Linked DNA regions of Drosophila melanogaster. The protein of the gene in region 1 purifies or fractionates together with the protein of each later gene. This does not show direct contact. Each region holds a gene or a part of one and is shown in the gene's direction. Other genes may lie near its edges.

Evidence for each region. Proteins that work in one complex are often made in the same cells at the same time.
Region 2: the proteins of Prosalpha7 (region 1) and CG13319 purify together in Drosophila melanogaster (affinity purification with mass spectrometry, with the first as the bait; one large-scale study listed by BioGRID). This does not show direct contact.
Region 3: the proteins of Prosalpha7 (region 1) and Pomp purify together in Drosophila melanogaster (affinity purification with mass spectrometry, with the first as the bait; one large-scale study listed by BioGRID). This does not show direct contact.

What each region holds. Positions count from the first base shown.
Region 1 is NT_033778.4:9,846,136-9,852,823, reverse strand, and holds Prosalpha7 (proteasome alpha7 subunit), read left to right. Parts: upstream 1-4,987; 5' UTR 4,988-5,106; coding exon 5,107-5,127; intron 5,128-5,185; coding exon 5,186-5,751; intron 5,752-5,918; coding exon 5,919-6,093; 3' UTR 6,094-6,188; downstream 6,189-6,688. Other genes in the region: PCB (pyruvate carboxylase), read left to right, coding at 1-276, 341-1,370, 1,439-1,687; CG1671 (uncharacterized protein), read right to left, coding at 2,277-4,614, 4,674-4,699; Orc6 (origin recognition complex subunit 6), read left to right, coding at 6,430-6,494, 6,551-6,688. UniProt on the Drosophila melanogaster protein: The proteasome is a multicatalytic proteinase complex which is characterized by its ability to cleave peptides with Arg, Phe, Tyr, Leu, and Glu adjacent to the leaving group at neutral or slightly basic pH.
Region 2 is NT_033778.4:12,921,066-12,927,171, forward strand, and holds CG13319 (uncharacterized protein), read left to right. Parts: upstream 1-2,838; 5' UTR 2,839-2,883; coding exon 2,884-3,282; 3' UTR 3,283-3,286; intron 3,287-3,356; 3' UTR 3,357-3,599; downstream 3,600-6,106. Other genes in the region: NAT1, read left to right, coding at 1-1,745, 1,814-1,992.
Region 3 is NT_033779.5:20,784,803-20,791,605, forward strand, and holds Pomp (pomp), read left to right. Parts: upstream 1-2,853; 5' UTR 2,854-2,980; coding exon 2,981-2,983; intron 2,984-3,047; coding exon 3,048-3,313; intron 3,314-3,600; coding exon 3,601-3,736; 3' UTR 3,737-4,296; downstream 4,297-6,803. Other genes in the region: vari (varicose), read right to left, coding at 4,445-4,621, 4,784-4,858, 4,919-5,250, 5,323-5,533, 5,589-5,750, 5,820-5,918, 6,365-6,803.

The sequences.
Region 1 (6,688 bases):
GTTCTGTGAGCTGGCTGTGCAGACCGGCATGGACATCTTCAGGGTGTTCGACTCGCTCAACTACCTGCCCAACCTGATCCTCGGCATGGAAGCCGCTGGAAAGGCGGGCGGCGTGGTGGAGGCTGCCATCTCCTATACCGGAGACGTCAGCGATCCCAAGCGCACCAAGTATGATCTGAAATACTACACTAACCTTGCCGATGAGCTGGTCAAGGCGGGCACCCACGTGCTCTGCATAAAGGATATGGCTGGTCTGCTCAAGCCCGAATCCGCCAGGTGAGTCTGAAGGGGTTTTTAATTTTTTTCTGTTGTGTACTATTTTGTTTCCATCCCCTGAAAGGCTTCTGATCACAGCCATTCGTGACAAGCACCCCGACATCCCAATCCATATCCACACCCACGACACCTCTGGAGCGGGAGTGGCCTCCATGCTGGCATGCGCCAATGCCGGAGCCGATGTGGTGGACGTGGCCGTCGACTCCATGAGCGGCATGACTTCCCAGCCGAGCATGGGTGCCGTAGTGGCCTCCCTGCAAGGCACTCCGCTGGACACGAACTTGGATCTGCGCACGGTGTCGGAGTACTCCGCCTACTGGGAGCAGACCCGCACCCTGTACGCTCCCTTCGAGTGCACCACAACAATGCGGTCGGGCAACGCCGATGTCTACCTCAACGAGATTCCCGGCGGCCAGTACACCAACCTGCAGTTCCAGGCCTTCTCGCTGGGTCTGGGCGACTTCTTCGAGGACGTTAAGAAGGCCTACCGTGAGGCCAACCTGTTGTTGGGTGACATTATCAAGGTGACGCCCTCGTCGAAGGTGGTAGGTGATCTTGCCCAGTTCATGGTGCAGAATGACCTGACCGCCGATCAAGTGCTGGAGCGGGCCGAGGAGCTGTCGTTCCCCAAGTCGGTGGTGGAGTACTTGCAGGGCTCTATTGGCATTCCGCACGGCGGATTCCCCGAGCCGCTGCGTTCGCGAGTGCTCAAGGACATGCCCCGCATCGAGGGACGTCCGGGAGCCGAACTGAAGGACTTGGACTTTGACAAGCTGAAGAAGGAACTGCAGGAGTCTCACACCTGCGTCACCAACCGTGATGTCATGTCAGCTGCCCTCTACCCGCAGGTGACGAATGATTTCCTAAACTTCCGCGAAAAGTACGGACCCGTCGACAAGCTGGACACTCGCATCTTCCTCACGGGTCCCAAGGTGGGCGAGGAGTTCGACGTACCTCTGGAGCGCGGTAAGACGCTGAGCGTGAAAGCTCTGGCTGTGTCCGCCGATCTCAAGCCCAACGGTATCCGCGAGGTATTCTTTGAGTTGAATGGCCAGCTGCGCGCGGTCCACATCCTGGACAAGGAAGCCGTTAAGGTAGGTTCAGTCAGCAGTCATCGGTGATCTTTAGGCAATGGAATCATTTGCTTGCTCTTCTTCCGCAGGAGATCCATGTCCATCCCAAAGCGAACAAGTCGAACAAGAGCGAGGTGGGCGCCCCCATGCCCGGAACTGTCATCGATATCCGCGTGAAGGTTGGCGACAAAGTGGAGAAGGGTCAGCCTCTGGTCGTGCTCTCGGCCATGAAGATGGAGATGGTGGTGCAGTCGCCATTGGCGGGCGTTGTCAAGAAGCTGGAAATTGCCAACGGAACGAAGCTGGAGGGCGAGGACCTCATTATGATTATCGAATAGACAGTGCCACCGGATCAAAATGTCCATTGTCTAAGCTGCCACCGCACACACCCAATGTAAAATTAAGTGAAAACAGTGATAATCTTAGGGACTCTGTCAGTTCGATTGATCATAAAACTGTCCAAAGTCGCCTGTGTCTATTTTTATATGAATCAAAATCATTCATGTTTCCGTGTTTCCAGGATCAATCGACCATGAGTAACTGGTCAAATTTTTTAGCTGTCCCTGCCAAAATATATCGGATTGCATAAGTTCGTGCCCAAGTATATTTGTAAATTTGTCGTAGGGCTTTTCCCGCAAGTCATTTGAATCAAATTTGTACGATTATGGAATTTTTAATTCGCAAACACCTGTGTCGAGATTCCCCCTCTAGTAAATACGTAAGTGGTTATTAATGTTATATTAACTATTGTGTAATAAACGTTATACAAAATAAAAAGTAACGCCCTGGTTTTTGTAGTGTGAAATTGGTGATTAAACATCTCGAAACAAATATGTAATGTATGGTTATCTACTTTATTTTTTTCCTAAAATTAATTAAACTGAATTAAGTTAACAATCATGAATGAAACGGCTCCGAAGCTAAAGCCTACATGCACTTGACAATGAACTCTAGGAAAGCCAGATCCTTGTTCAGCTCGGTGACCCGCTTAAAGTGTCTCTGGACGTACGGAGTGAGTACCTCGACCATGTTGCCATTGTAGTAGAACCTCGCCTTGGGATCCAGAAGAGCATCTCCGATCAAGTACTTGAGGATCATGTTGCCCGCCTGCGAATGGCGCGAGTTGGTGGTCCATGCCTTGACGTGCTGCAGCAGCGCAACCCGCTGGTCAACGTTCAACTGGTCAACCAATTGCCGGAGACCGGGCTCATCTCGCTTGCGGACAAAGTGGTTGATAATATCGAAACTGGCTTTGGGCTTGTCCAGGTTCAGAGCCAACACGAAGGCCTTGTGAAGCTGCTTCTGGGCGTGCAGAAGGGAATGTAGGGTCTGCTCCTGCTCCAATGCGGCCTGCCGCTTGTCCAGCGCTTCGTTTCGCGTCACCTGAGTGACATCACCGAAGCGAATCAGCTTGGAGTCCGCGCCGCCGGTGTAAAAGAACCGATTGCTCCTGGCGGATACGGCCAGCGCCCAAACCCTATCGTTGTGCTCGTCCAGGGACTGCAGACATGTGTTGGTCTTGATATTCCACAGCTTAAGAAGGCCATCCGAAGCAGCGGAGATAATGAACTTGCCGTGATCCAGGAACTCGGCTCTCAGTATGGTGCACTCCTGATCGAAACGTTTTATGCACGAAAAATTGCTGATGGACCAGATGCGGAGAGTACAGTCCGACGATGAGGTGAGCACGATCTGATCCACCGGAGAGAAGCGCACACTCCACACACCGCGGGTGTGTCCCCGCAACACTCCTTGCAGCGTGTTGGACTCCGCCAGCCACACCTTAGCCGTCTTGTCTTGCGACGCGGTAGCAATAAGCTTGTTATTCGGAGCATATGCAACGCAGTTCACCTCCTTGTCGTGGGAAAGCGCTGCGTAGCGCAGGTTGAAAGAGTACGAGTTGCGATCCTCCTTACTTCTGACGAGCTGCCATACCTTCATGCTGCCATCTTGGCTCACGGATGCAAAGCCAGTAGCTCCGTTGTGCGTCATGGCCACGCAACCGATAGTGGACGTGTGGCAGTTGGCCTGTTGAGTCAGAGCCTCAAGCGAGCAATCTTTGTCGTGCTGAAGCCTCCAAAGCCGAACGCTGCAGTCCTTTCCCACCGAAATCAGCAGATTTTGGGATGCAGCAAGGGACATTACCGTATCCGAGTGACCCACGATCAGCTTGCAATTCATGTCGTGTTCCGTGTCGTACAGCTTGAAGTGCTTGCTGTTGGTGGCAACGGCCAGGTAGCGATCGTGTTCGCCCATAAAGCACATGTCTAGGATCTCGTCGTTGTAACCCACCAAGTGTTTAATGGGTTCCAGGGTTTCAACGTCGTAGACCAAAATATTCTGCTCTGTAGTGACCAGGGCCAGCTGTTTTAGCTCGCTGCAGTGCAGCAGTCTACTAATTTGGAAATCAGATTGAGAAAGAATATCCCTGATCTTCCAAGATTTAGGGTCGACCTGTTGCAGCTTGCCCGATCCGCTCGCCACGATTATCAGTTGTCCCTCGTCTGCGTACACGACTCCCTCAAGCTCATCGTACAAGGGAAGAACCTTCAACTGCTTGCTTTCCAACTGCTCCTGCAATTGCCACACGATCATAACCTTGTCCCGGCTTACAGTCACGATTTCATTGCAGTCGGACGCGTTGCTCTTAAAGCTCAAGCCGGTGACTTGCGACAGGTGACCTCGCATCTTGTGCACAAGTGTCTTCGTCTCGTAGTTCCAGGCATAGACAGTGTTATCCGAACCTCCGGCGTAGATCTCTTTGCGCAGCACATTGGGATGAAAGACGAGGAGCCAAGCGGGACCAGGGAAATCCTTGAGGGCACCCAGACAGCTGTTGTTCGAGTAGTCCCACAGCCTCAGTGTGGCATCTGCACCGCCGCTGGTGCAGATAAGCCTGCCGCAGGGACTAAACTCAACTCGGATGACTGGTCCCTTGTGCTGCGCCTTCCACAGCTTCACCAGCTTCCCAGTGTCCAGCTGCCACAGCCTAAGCAGGCCACTTCGATGGGCAGTAACCAGATGCTCCTGTGACAGCCCGAAGCAAGTAATCGTATCCTCCTCCACATCGATATTGTCCAGCTCCGCCGGCCTCTTGTTATCCGCCGACGGGGAAGACAAGCCGTAGCTATTTAGGATTTGGGAGGTCTGCACATCCACCTGGTTTACAGCTGAGCCATTGAGGCAGTAAAGATGATGGCCATTCGGGCTCCAGGCGATGTCGCCGCCGGCGTAGAAGTTCGTGTAGCGGGCCTCCGCCGCATAGCTGGATTTTAAAATTGTTGTAGTCTTGCAATCATCAGGTAATTATTAAGTTTATGTTACCTTTTCTCGCTGATACCCGCCAGCATGATTTTCGTTGTTTATAAATACAAAAACCGCGTGCGCCGCGGATCAGAACATGAACGGAACTAGTTCGAAATGTTACTTTACAGAGCATGTAAGGGGATATTCGAAATGTATAAGTAGAAAAGAAAAGAATGATATTAACTTCAACTGTGCTAAATAAATAAAGTACCATGAATTGGTGATTTATTTTTAATCATTCGAATTTTATCTGAAAAAATCGCGATTGGTATACGATTGGTTTTTATTGACGATAGTCGTTCCGAAACTATCGAACCTCCTTGACCGATAGGCCCCTTTGTTTTGTCCACCACTAGCCAAGTAAAAGCCGTCAAATCATCGTCGCATTCGACCCAAGGAATTAAACTAATTTTTGCGTTTGAATTGTTTAAATTTTCACAAAGTCTTCGCTATGAGTACTATTGGCACTGGAGTAAGTGGTCAGCGAACTACATATCTGCAGATCCCTAACGTCACCCTCTCGCTTCCAGTACGACTTGTCGGCCTCGCAGTTTTCGCCTGATGGCCGCGTTTTCCAGATCGACTACGCCTCAAAGGCGGTGGAGAAGAGCGGCACCGTAATCGGGATTCGGGGCAAGGACGCCGTGGTGCTGGCCGTGGAGAAGATCATCACCAGTAAACTGTACGAACCAGACGCCGGCGGACGCATCTTCACCATCGAAAAGAACATCGGAATGGCGGTGGCCGGCTTGGTGGCCGATGGAAACTTTGTGGCTGACATTGCGCGTCAGGAGGCAGCCAACTACAGACAGCAATTTGAGCAGGCTATCCCGCTTAAACACCTGTGCCACCGAGTCGCCGGCTACGTTCACGCCTACACTCTGTACAGTGCCGTCCGCCCCTTCGGACTTTCCATCATTCTCGCCTCCTGGGACGAAGTAGAGGGGCCACAGCTCTACAAGATCGAGCCGTCCGGCTCCTCCTTCGGTTACTTCGCCTGCGCCAGCGGCAAGGCCAAGCAGCTGGCCAAGACTGAGATGGAGAAGCTCAAGATGGATATGAGGACCGACGAATTGGTGGAGAGCGCTGGTGAAATGTACGTTTACAGCAAAAAAAAGGGACTGTTTCAAAAATCGGGCGGGCTTTATCCTAGTTCCGAGTGGAAACTTACTTGCTCTGACAATAGGAAGCATTTTTGGGACATCTATTGCACTTAGAATCTAGGTTTTTATTCATAATTAACATATCTATCCTATGTCTTAGCATCTACAAAGTCCATGACGAGTTGAAGGACAAGGACTTCCGCTTCGAAATGGGTTTGGTGGGCAGGGTAACCGGTGGCCTACATCTCATAAATCCCTCAGAACTGACGGAGAAGGCGAGGAAAGCCGGCGATGCGGCCAACAAGGACGAAGACAGCGACAATGAGACGCACTAGTTCGTTTGTGTGCCAGTGAATCTAATTCTGGGCCTCATACATAATGTTAATTTTATATTTCCCTAAAGCGCAAAATGAATAAACAAAATCGGGTGAAATTTAAGGTTTTTATATTTTTATACTCTCATTCTTTAATAGTTATCGTTCGATATAAATATATTGGCTCGCTGGTTATCGGATCTGGTTCCTTTTGAATGTGCCTGCAGCTATTAAACCTCGATTGCTACAAAGAAAAACCTTATCGCTCACAGCTGATGCATTTCGCGCCATTTGTTGTACTTTATTTTGGTTTTAACGACGCACGACTGGAATTTCAGTCTATTGTTAATAACTACAATGACTACCTTAATAGAACAGTTAATTACGAAAATGGGCCTAAGGGAGGAGCCAAACGTGCTAGAGTAAGCGATAAATAAATAGTTTTAAAGGTTTACCCAGTAAGATCGAATCCTTTCAGGAAAACCACCGAACTAGTACGCCTCCTGGAACTGCGCTCCACGAATGTCCCTCTGCAGATCAACGAGTACGGAAAGATAGTGCTGTGTGCGGATCTCGCTTCCTGCATGATTGGGATCGCTTTCGACAAGGAGCAGGC
Region 2 (6,106 bases), 3.1 Mb from region 1:
GGGCGGTAGCGGCGGAGCTAACTATGGCAATCGCTACAACAAGCACAACCAGAATGGAGGAGGCAGTGGCGGAGGATCCTCCAACAACCGGGACCGGGATGATTCGCGTAGGAATAACGATCGTGACAGGGATCGCAATGACGGACAGTATGGGGGCAATCAGCTGCTGGGTAGTAAGGAATTGGCACCGAGGTTCAAACGCAACTTGATCACCACGAACCAGGATGCGGTGGAGAACTTGCAAATGCGCCCGGCAGCCAACTCCTTGCTCTTCCGAGCGGCCTCCCAGAACCAAAAGTTTCCGGCTACGTTGCCCATGTCAACACCGCCCAATAGCAGCGGCAGCAACAACCAGGGCAGCTCGCAGGGCCAGCTCTCGAACTCCCACTACCCTATGCTCGGCACGCCCACATCCCATCTGATCAATCCAACGCGTCCCTCGTCAACACCATCTGCTGAGTATGCTGATAACCGAACTCTTTTGGGAGTTCAACAGGAGAGGGGATTGAAGGCCACCTCTTCTTCGCCGAACTTTTCATCAGGAGCGGAGAAGTTGGATTTAGACGGTCAGGCGGGCAGAAAGGGATCGCACGACGGCAAAGATCAGGGCAAGAATGGCTCCGTGGAGAGACCAAGCACTCCGGCCGGCGGTATTGGCTCGGCCAAGCAACAAAAGAAAGATAAGGGTCCCAACAAGGAGGAGCTGTCTAAGAAGGCCAGTCAGTACTTCAAGGATAGGTTCTACTACGATGAGGAGGAGGATGCAGAGGTGACGGAAATTGAGATCAAGGATATTGATGAGACAAAGACGGAGGAGGCCGACGCTGCTCCAGTTGAAGTCTCGGAGGTAAAGGAAGATGCTGCAATACCTGTGACCACTCCAGATCGCTTCACCAAGCTTGTAGATGGTTTCCTCGAGCTTAAGCTGCCAGAGAAGGCGCTGAAGGATGTGTGCATCAATCTGCTGATGGAGGTCTTGGACCGTGTAAACGATGTCTTCTTGGAGCGTGCTGTGCGCCTTCTGCAGACATTGCGCAAGCAATCCAATATCAAGCCGAACATCGTGGTCGAGATTTTCAAGCAGGTGGTCAACAAGATGAACGAGCGAGAGGCACTCAATCCCCGAATCGTTAGTCTTGTAGCCAGCTTGCTGGCAAAGACAATTTGCGAGCCAGCATTGCTGAAGTTAAGCGATATCGCCAACTTCACGGACAATGGCCAACACTATCCGCTGTTCCTGCTCGTGCTGCAGCAACTGGTCAAGGTCATCGGCAAGGATGCGCTGGAAGAGAAATTCCGGGCGAGCAAAGTTGATCTTATGAACAGCCTGCCGGAGGCGGATCGGAACAAGGAGCGCTTGGCCGGGATACTCGAGGATCGCAAGCTTTCTTTCCTTTATCCGCTATTGAAGGTACAGGCCGAGATGCTAAAACAGCTGCAAAGCGACCCGAACCCCAACAACTTCTACAAGTGGATCAAGGCCAACGTTGACAACAAATACTACAAGGACCCGGGCTTTATCCAAGCCCTAATGACCGTGGTGGTCAAGTATGTGACCAAGGAGACGACGCTGGCGGACAACCTCGACCCCAAGGAGCACCCTGAGAAATCGGTGACCCAGAAGGAGCAACAGCTGCTGGAGAACTACAGCCAGATGCTGCAGACCTTCCTGGGACAGAACGAGCTTCAGTTGATGGCTCTCTATGCTCTGCAAACGTTCTGCTACAATGAAAATTTCCCCAAGGGTAAGTGCTCAACATTTTAAATCTAATCTGTTTTATCGGCAACTTATATTTGCTTTTTTCTTCGTTAGGCATGCTGTGCCGTTGGTTCAAGTATCTTTACGAATCTGAAATTATAGAGGAGGAGGCATTCGTCCTGTGGAAGGAGGAGATTTCCGACAAATATCCAGGCAAAGGATCCGCTTTGTTCCAAGTGAACGCCTGGTTGACTTGGCTGCAGGAGGCCGAATCTGAGGACGATGAGGATTAGAAAGCAACGCAGTCCCGCATAATAACAGCGCTATATGTTTATCACTTCCAATATTTATTCACAAATCGATAATGATTACATGATGAAAAACAACAAAACTAACAAAACACGAAAAATAAGAAACAAAATACCATCAGGGTGGAAGTTTGAAATCGCGGTTGCAAAACTTAGTCAAATTATAGTAAAAAAGAAAAACAAAACAAAAAAAATTAATCAAAATTATTTGATATCCAACAAATTCAAAGAACATTAACAATCAATTATCAATAAATAAAGCGCAATAGACGTCAAATATAACCGATATTTATCCATACATCATAATTCTCATTGACATTTCAAGCATAACGAATAATTAGTGAATTTCATCTTTTTTTTTTAACATAACAACCGGAACTGATCTTTAAATCGAATAACGTTGATTTCAATTGCCTTTTTTTGGTACTCTCGACGATTTCCCTTTTGTGTATTTAAATAAGTAGGTCAAATCAAAGCGACAACATTAACATTATAGAAAAGGAAAAACCAATCGACGCGCGCCGAAGAGAGCAAAACAAAATCTGAATGTAATTGTGAACAAAATATCGTATATATGTATTTAACTCAACCAACGTAAACATTAAAAAACTCGCCCACATTAAATAGAGCCTTAATAAATGCAACCAACACTGCGAACGGCGAAATCAAACTGACTTTCATTGGCTTTTGAGGGAGTAATGCAAATTTAAAATCCGCGCCTAAGCTCTGTAATAGCTGCCTATCGATACAATTTTCGATTATTTTGAAAAGCTATCTATGGTCGTTTCGTTATCTGGCAACACCGCTCCGGTCAAACTTGCTATTTCATTGTTTTCCTTGTGAATATTGCTTGTTTATGTATAAAATTCACGACTAATGGATAGCGTTCCTGCGAATGTTGTGCCTGCGAAGGAGTCTGGTGGTTTCACCTCACATTGCGTCCACTTGGCGGCGGGTCCCTCGCAATTCACCGTGCGCGCCCTGAAAATGCAAGGCAGCACCATGCTGATCATAAACCCCAAGGGATTGGAGGTTTTCGAGGAGCTAGCGGTGGCCATGCCCTCTCGCAATCCCGCCAGCAGCCAGTCCCTATCCTCCACAATCCTGGGCGGACACGGGCAGACCGACTCATCTGTTCTGGCCGCCAAATTGAGTAAACGCTACTGCCGCCAGTTCTACGTGAGCCTTAATCTCAAACTGGATCGATTAATGGGCCCTCTGTTCGAGAAGACGCTAGTCACCTACATGCAAGACCATCTGGAGCACTTCGCTTGAGTGGGTACAACAACTTAGTGTGGCATAAATTTAATCCTCAATCGCTGACTTATTTCTGGTTCACGTGCACACAGGGCCCGCCTGCGCTACCGATGACACGGCGCCGCGTGGGGGTCAACGTCTATTTCGGGGACCGGCGGCTACCCCACGGACGCAGCTTCACGTACTCTACGCACTCCATCAGCTAACTATCTGGGATCTCCGATTCCCGATCTCCGCTCAGACGTCATGCGGCGGCCGAGTGAGCACGAACTTTAAACGTGTATCGGTGATACGAATTTTGTACAATAAATTTATTGCCCTAAGTAAGTTTACAGACGCATGTGGGCTTTATCAATTGTGTCGCGATAGCAGTGCTCAATGTAAGAAGAAGTCACCCGCTGTGTGAGTGATCGCGTGCCACCCGCATGCTATTCATGCTGCTGCTTCACCACCCAATGATTTGAAGGTCAGTTTGGCTGCAGTGATGATCGCTTGATAGGTGATTTCCCCGCCATCGTATTAAATTCGAATATACATATGTGTGTGTTCGCATTGCGCCGGTTTGTTCATCAGGCCTCCGTTTCGGTTTCCCTTTCGAATGAATGTTTAGGTTTAGGGAGAAGTTAATATGTAATAATCATTCGGAAGTTTTCCAAATGGGTACCATTTCAGTTTGATCACTGAATACCTCTGACAAATAATATCATTAGATTTGTTTTTATGTTGTTAATTTGAACTATTCGAAAAGTTAGTAGGATACCACTATCAAATGTATGTATTAACTAGCGGGTTTACAATTCACAATGTGATTAACAAGCTTCTAAATTTGTGTGAATAATACTGGTTGAAAATATTATATCTCTTGTTACAGTTCGTTTAGCTTTTGAAAAAATGATATTGGTGATGACTGACTATAGGAACTCTCAACTTTACTAATTACCCACGAGCAAAAAGTTGATGTCACTTCCTGCATGAGTTCCCAATTATAATGATTGCGATATCCAAAATATCCAAGTCACTATTCACTATTTCAGAATGGTTCTATGTCACAGAAAGTCTGCAACTTGAACAGTTTGATACTCAGGTATAGATAGTTGAAGGACCAACGCGACACCTTCATAATGCCCTTTATCTATCGGCATTCTCAGACTGAAAGTTGGCTATACTTCCTGCCCGCCAATCGTAAATATAAATCGGTTGATAAGACGTCTGAATTACCCCCGCCAAGAATGCCAGTCATATTTTTAATGGAACAGCCCCCAGCAGCGTTGTGCTATGGTTGTGTTGGATCACACCGCCTGGAGGTGCCATTGAAACTTTTCCGCTAAACAACCCAATGGGAGGGAGGGAGCAGCAACAAAATGAAAAACACTAATGTACGAAAAAAACAAATTTCGCCTCTCATAATAATGCCCAGTCTAGACGAGATATTGTCAGGCGTATCAGTGGTGGTAACAGCGACAAGAGCATATCGCTCCAAAAAAAAAATAGCAGCACCCATTGAACGGGTATAAAAATAGAGCTTCAGCCGGAAGGTCTGCGCTCCGGGGTCTGTGGGCTCCCACGAATGTCTGGAATGTTTTTTTCCCCCGTTTTTTTTTTTCTGCTTTTGGTTTCCCCAGTTGCCTAATAACTTTTCCTTTTTGGCCATATCAAAAGCTGTCTGGCGATAAGCGCCCTATAAATAATAGATCCGAGTCGGCCGAATTCGAGCAGCCATCTGTAATTATCGGGTCGGAATGTGAGTGCGAGTAGTTGTGGCTTCCATGCCTCGGTTGCATGTCCCTGGCTTGGATGACTGGCTGGCCCGGCTGGCGGTACATGGACTTTGGAAGTCTATCGTTGGCGGCAACAAAGTAATTAGCCTTCTGCGGGACTACCATAGTCATATCAGCGCCCCCAGTGGGTTCCCACTGCAGCGATAAGCCGGCTGGACTACGCGTGGAACCTTCTCCGCGGCGGCTGCTGCTGCTATTTCTGCTGCTGCTGCTGCTGCTGCAAATGTGCATCTTGGCTGATAAACCCCTAGGTTCAGGCGCACGCCCACCGGTCAAGCTGGAGCGCGGAACGGAACGAAACGGTTCGGATCGAATAGAATCGAATCGGAGATCCCAATCCGAATCTGCTGCGAGGGCTTATCGGACCACCAGACCACCTTTGCCAGCCATCCAGACCCCTCCGGTTATCGGTCGAGTGTTGTTAATTTGATAGAAATATTGAACATCATTGCGCCCGACGGACTGCACCCTGCCATTCCGGTTCGATCCGGATCGCCGCCGAGTGTCTATACGCCTAGTTTGGTGCCGATTTGTTATTATTTACGCCGAGATTCGGACCACGGAAAATTAATAAGCGCACACGCTCAGCTCCCCAACGGGAGCTCGCGCCATACAAAGTTCACACAGCCAGTCAGAAAATCCGGATTTTTTTTACTCATTTTCTGCGCGGCTTTAATTGCCGGCAAGCGGCAAAAAACATAAAAATTAGGTTGCGCCTGGGGTCCTTCATCGCCTGTCTTCGATTTGGGGAGGCGATACGGACCCAAGGCCGTGCTTTTGGAAGATTCCGCTGAACTGACCTCGCCATGCGCGACTGTACCTCGGCTCGATTGTCCGGCGGAGCAGTTGTGGTCCGATTATGCCCCCTATCTATTTATAAATCATGATTCGCCATCTGGTGGGGGAACTGGACTGGAGTGGAATGGGTACGGGTACGGGGATGGGAATGGGAATGGGAATGGGTACTGCGATGTGCAATTGGCAATGAGTCCGCTTCCACGACCACAACCACGTTCGCCTCCACCTGTCGCACTGCTGATAGAGGGCAAGGGCTTATCAAAGTC
Region 3 (6,803 bases), on another chromosome or scaffold:
TCCTGGCATTTTCAAAAATGGATGAAGTGCATCGCCGAAACTGGCCATCTCTCCTCACTCAGCCGCTTGATTTATGGCCCAGAGTATCTCGATTCACGAGAAGCCAATGGCGGAGGGGGATCCTAGCGAATGGGAGCCATAAAAGTGCGGAGCGATCTTACTCAGATCACTCACGAACGGGATATTCGTTTATTGTGCCCATGCACAGAAAAAAGAGAGTACAGAAAACTAAATAATGTATTAAAAACCTTAAACAATTATATTCCATATTTGAGGGAGTATGTTAAGATCCAACATTTTTTCTCTTTTCTCATGTGCAATGTATATTTCTTAAGAGTTCCAAGAATAAGAATTTCATATTATATGTTACTTAATATTATATTATTATATCATTAAAATCCTTCGATTTCTTAAACTCAACATTTCGTTCAGTACCTGGCAATATGGCTGCTAATAGGGTCCAGCTCGGTTATACTGCCGCAGCTACAGCCCAGTTCCTCGTATCTTAATTGGCACCCAGAGGAGGTGGCTCGTCAAAGCGGCAGCGACCCCTATGGTTATAAAAAAAAAGAAAGATACCGGATAGCCCCGGGCCTGGTCCGGCATAATGCCCAATCATCTCGACGACCATCTGCTTACAGCTGCTCCCTGTTCTCTGATCGCCGAATCCCGATCCCAGGTCCAAGACCCATTGTCCTCGTCTTCCGCTGCGTCTTGCAGCCATAAAAGTTTATGGCAGCCGGGAAAAGTAACGAAACATTCGAACTTTTGGTGCCGTTAACGAAGCCTCCTGCTCTTTCGATTCGATCCAAGATCAATTCCCAGTGGAGGTTGTATGTCTCTATTAGCGACGACAATGGCGGACGGAGGGCAGCATCCAGCGGAGACGGCCTGCAGAAGATTGTAAATTTTATACCATATACGTCATACAGAAATGGGTGTACTGGTGCACTGAGGGAAATCGTGCCCTCGGATGCCTTTAAATAACTCTTGAAAAGCTGAAGAAACATCCTTTTATTTTGTACTTCAATTTAAAGAAATCATCTATTGATCATCTTTTGGAATCTCTTGCTTTTACCCATTAATTTCTCTGAGTGCGTATAAAATAGAAGAGAAATATCAGCCCAATCAAGCTGTTTTAAAAGGAATTCCCTCATCTGAAGAGTCCCCTAGTTGAACCCACGACTCTTCTCTTTTTTGAATACACATCTTCGACTTTTATGCATTTATTGCTGTGAAAAAATGTTAATTCTCGACGTTATATTTTTATTTGACTTTTACATATCGATCTTCTCGCCCTGAGATCTCCATCTCCATTCGACCATACATAGTTGGCTCTTGGCCATCCTTATGGCCATATATTGGACTGACTGAATTGGTTGATTCGCCTCGTACTGGTCTACTGTGTATTAATTGGTCAAAGGCAGTAAAACAGAAAGTAAACGTTATAAATCAATCGTGGTATGAGTTCTTTTGAACTCTTCAAGCGGCAAAATTCACAGGGAACTGAAATGATTGTATTAACAAATAAGTCAAAGGAACGATGCTAGTAAGCTAAAATCGATGCGAGTAATTTGTGTTTATTCTAACTTAATTTATTTATAGACTTATAGATTAAATCACCATAAGTTGCATCCGAAAGAATCGCATCTCAAAGTAATAAAAACTAACGATATTTTTATCAACTCGACGCCATAAATATGCCCGTTGCGATATTCTTATTGTAAATTCTCGAATTGTCTGCTGATTAAATTTACTTATCATTTTGTCAGTTTCTTAATATAGAATTCATTCATTAAAAATAGGGCTGATCTTTTAAATTATCTAATACGTTTTTGTATCAATACTATAGCTATACATGCTATAAACTATTTGACTTTGTATTGCAATGCTCATCCATACCAATATTAAAATGATTAAAGTTGTAAATTACAAAGCAGGAATGTAGTTCGCTTTTTTCGCACTGTAAAATTCAGTAAATGGGCATAAATCATAATTTACGTACTACCTTTTAGTCTAAAGTGAAGGTGAAGATCCATCCATCCGGTTGATGTTTCCATTTGGATTTTCAAGTTCAGATTGGATAGGATCGGATCGGTTGGCCGGAGACAGTTTGGGCTATTGTGTGCGGGAGTTTGATTAACACAACATCCACTGGCCGAATCTTTATTAGTGACCATGCACTAATTAAGCCCTGTCGTGTGATTTGGTCTCCTCGCATTCGCATTCGTTCGCGTTTGTCACTCGATGCAAATGAATCGCGTCTCTGTGGAGCAGAAGATCATAAAAGCCGCTAAAAGGTGTGGGTGAAAAGAAAAACAAAACCCCGGCCAGCCAGCCAGCGGATTCAGTTCTTTTGTTGATCGAATTGATTAGAGCTGCGGCCGAGATCGATACGTTTGTATATTTCGGATGTGCGTTGCTGGCCAGCGAGGGTGTAATTAATCACAACACTCAAGTTCGTCACTTGACCGAAGTGTTAAGTGCGCTAATAACGCCAATTTGCATAGACCGACTTTTACCCATCAACACGATTACAATTAAAGTGTATTTCAAATAGTGCTGCGTTGTTGCTATATATATAGAAATATTTTGTTTAAATAATCAAATTGGATTGGAAAATTTGGAGTTCATAATTTCAAATCGAAATTCACTTGTCGGACATGCCGCATTTTTGTACCCTGCAATGGTTTGAAACCGAGCTAAAATTTATGTGGGTCAAAATGGATTGAATCCATGTTAGCATTGTCTGGAGCTGCCATCCTGATTTCTACACATGTAAAGAGTTGCCAGTCTGGTTTCTACACTACTGGATTCTATTCTAGTCGATAAGTTGCTTTCTATTCGATTATCTTGTCAATTATCGTCGATATCGAGTAGGCATCGACACAAGTACCAGCTCTAATTCGCACGGAATTTGTTTGTCATTCAAGAAACAATTATAATTCGCCGCATTTTTATTCTAAAAGCGCTTACGAATATGGTAAGTACCTCGCCGAGTGCATTTAGTAGAGCCGCTAACGAAACGAAAACCCCTCGCAATACAGTATCAGCCATCACTGAAAGTCCAGCCCGCCGAGGTGTCCGTGCTGAACGCCACCGGCCGTGTGGGAATGCCCACCGAGGCCAACTGCCTGAACCAACTGGCCCACGTCCACCGGCTGCGCGACTCGGAGCTGAACTACAACGAGCACCAGTACAACCGCAACATGCAGATGCTGCGCAACCACGAGGGCCTCGGCGTGCCCCTCAAGATGGGCATGGAGCGCTTCGCCGCACGTCAGGTGGGCCGCCTGCCCTTCCTTTCGTCCAGGTGAGCATCTAGCCCGGTCTGGGAGCTTCTCAGTCTGGACAGGAATCTCTGCAAGGGCGGAAGCATTCAGAAATCTTCTGTTTCCACATTATAAGAATCCCGGAGAAACCTGAGATATCCTACAATCTAGAAAATCTAAACTTCTTGCCTAATAATGGATACCTATATACGTACATACATACATACGTGTATACCAAGTATACCTGTGATTCCCATAGTACCATTATTACCGAAAACCCAGCAATGACTACTTATCTTCTATATTAATTCTTTCCTTTATATTGCAGCAACTTCATGGACGATGTCCTGACTGGCCGCTGTGATTCCATTGGCTTCGAGGACTTCATGAACTTGCCCGAGAACAGCGAGCATATGCGTCAGCCCCACGCTGTGGTGGAGAAATCTCTGGGAATTTACCAATAAGTCCCTGCAAATGAAGTTGCTAAATGCCTGGCATTCAGCCTTTAAACTCTAAGACACTCTTAAGATCAGCAAATAAAATATATTTTGGTGCGACCAGCTAGAGGTAAACAAAATTCACCATTTCTTTGAGCCAAATTTATTCGTATTTCGTTTGTTTAACTCCACATCAATACATTTAACTAGTTCGTTAAACTTACACATTTTATTCAAACAAATCTAAAAACTACACGAAAATATTGGCAGAAGGTTGTTGTACTGAGGAGATTCGTTAAAATAATAAACTGAAGAGATATGCGTTGACATCATTCATTATTTGTAAAAATAAAACAAGAGATGGTAAAATGGACGAATTCGTTTCGTAAAATTAGGCTTATACTTAAGGAAAACTGAATTGTAAACGGAGGGCGCATTTCAACTTATACAAACATTGCATATATACATGATTTATATTTAAAGAGGAAAATGACAGTAATTGAGATAAACATAGTTAATAAAACGCATTACATTCCTCAAGCAAAACACGTCTAATCAACAATAAATATTGAAATCGCTAGCGTTTTAAATGCTCTTCGCTAAATTTGTATTGTGTTGCGAGTTTAAGCTTCAATTACTGGAATTATCCCTTTAATTGTGATGATAGGCATTCGATTTTTATAGTATATATTCTTCAATATGCATAAAGGCGCAATTGCAAAGGGTCATGGGATTCTAGTAGATCCAGTTGACAGGCACCCACTGCTCCTCGTGGCTCATCTGATCCAGCGTTTCCACCACCTGGCGGAACGTCTCATCGAAGTCCTCGTTCACGATGACCATGTCGAAGTATTTCTCATACTTGCGCTGGACGAAGCTGCTCTCCTCGACGGTGGCGACAAGGTCGTCGTCCTGTTCGGAAAAGTCATAGAAAGCGAATGTGTTAAGCAATGTTTGGGTATTCAGGCAGAGATCTAACAGGGCTACTAGGGTGGCCTAGGTGCGCCAAGCGGATGATTGAGTTGAGCACAATTTATACGACACTGTAATTAAGGATAGGTCAGGGCACATTACCTCATACAACGACGCTAGGGACTCGAGCGTACGGGCGCGTCTGGAGCTGAATCTTATGGAACTCTGGCGATCAAACTGTGGAATATGTGCTCGCATTAGAGGAGTGCCTAGTCTAGGGGGCTACGTGAAACATACAGATAAATTCCGGTTGGAGCCCGTGGCCCTGCGATCCGCATAGATGGTCTTGAGCTGCTCCATGCCAGGCGCTGCCACAAAGATGACAAAAGGCATCAGTTCCTGGCTGTTGTGCAGGATCTTCAGGGCATTCGGTGCACAATCCAGGATGCACATGCGCCCACTGTTGATCACATCCTTGATGGACTGCAAATGCGTGCCGTACAGATTGCCATTGTGCTCGCCGTACTCCAGGAACTCGTTGTTCCGCACGGCCTCTTCCATTTCCTCGCGGTCCATGAACCAGTAGCTACTGCCGTTCTCCTCCAAGGCGCGCTTGGGGCGACTGGTATCTGAAGTGGTTCCGCGAATACAATGCATTTATGAATATTCATATCCAAAATGATAGCTTAAATTGTGCTTACGTGGAATGACCGCTCCGAACTTGTCCACATCGCTGTTGATCAGCCGATTCTTGAGCGTACGTCTTCCCACCCCGGAAACACCGATGAGAACCAGGGTTTTCCTGCGGAACGGCGGCATCCGCGTGACCTCCTCATAGAGCAGCAGCTCCGCCTTGTCGAACTCGCAATTGGCCACAGATCGGTACATGGTCTTGCGCTTTCGCTTCGAGATCTGTTGCAACACACAATGTTTACTGGGTGCCCATTGCGATACTATGAAAACTCACTCTTGTTCCGCAAATGCCAATCTTGTGAACGTAGTCCGCCTCGGGGGCCACGAAGGCTTTGCGCCGCTCCTCCAGCTCTTGGGATGGTATGAGTCCAATTTTGTCAGATTCGGCAGTAATGTTCTTGGCCTGCCACCAGTTGGGATCCTTTACGTTGATGATCTGCAATGCCAGGATGATGTACATTGATCAGGATAACTAGATGGGTTGTTTTTTTTCTGACCAACTCACCTGCAAAATGTCGCCCGACTTGAAGGGCAATCCAATATCCCTGCATGGCAGCAAGGAATCTTCGGATGGATTGTATGTGAAAAGGGCACGCATGTAGCACTGTTGGTATATGAGAACACAAACCTTGTTACTATTTAAGCATTTATCACTTTTAGTAGCTTTACTATGCCAAGATTTACTTACTTAGTTGCAAGCGATTTGAGAAATTTCAAGGGAATTCGTTGTATGTTTGTCTAATAGTAACTTATTGCGTTGATGATATATATCATTATTTTGAGTAAGTTGGGTTTGATAACTAAACTATTACTGCTTACAAATAAAAACGGTCATAAGTGAGTAATTAGCATACAACTGGATAGCTAAACATGTAAGTTGGCAAGCACAACAAACTAAAAACCCTTTCTGGGCAAGAACATTGTTCAAGATTCATTATTTGAATTTTAACTGGCCAATAAACTTATTAGGATAAACTTCCAACTAATCGGGGCTCATGCAAGCAAGCAGCAATCTGTGGGAGGAACCTTCAAGCCAAACATCGAACTTACCGTCAGTTTCTTGCCCGTCTCGAGACTCGCGATGCCATTCTGTTTTACCTGACCCCCACTCACAGTATAGCGACCGCTCTTGATCTCCTCGTCCACGTTCGGCCCGATCTTGAGGGTGAGATTCTCCTTGGCCCGCGACACCTCCACCTGCAGCTCATCGGGAGTGCGAACGGGCGTACCGTTCACCTCTAGGATGACATCGCCAACGTGCAGCATGCTCTGTTTGTCGATCACCCCGCCCGCCAGAATCCTGGCCACGACCAGCTGCTTGAATTCGTCCAGTTCGACGGTCAGGCCCAGCGGCTTGCTGGGATCTCGGCGCAGACCCACCATCTTGATGGTCTCCACTGGCATCTTGGTGTTGAGGACGTCCTCGGTGAACAGGTAGCCTCCCGTTTGGCGTTGGCTGGCGATCTCTAGTTGGCTGGTGGATCCCCCG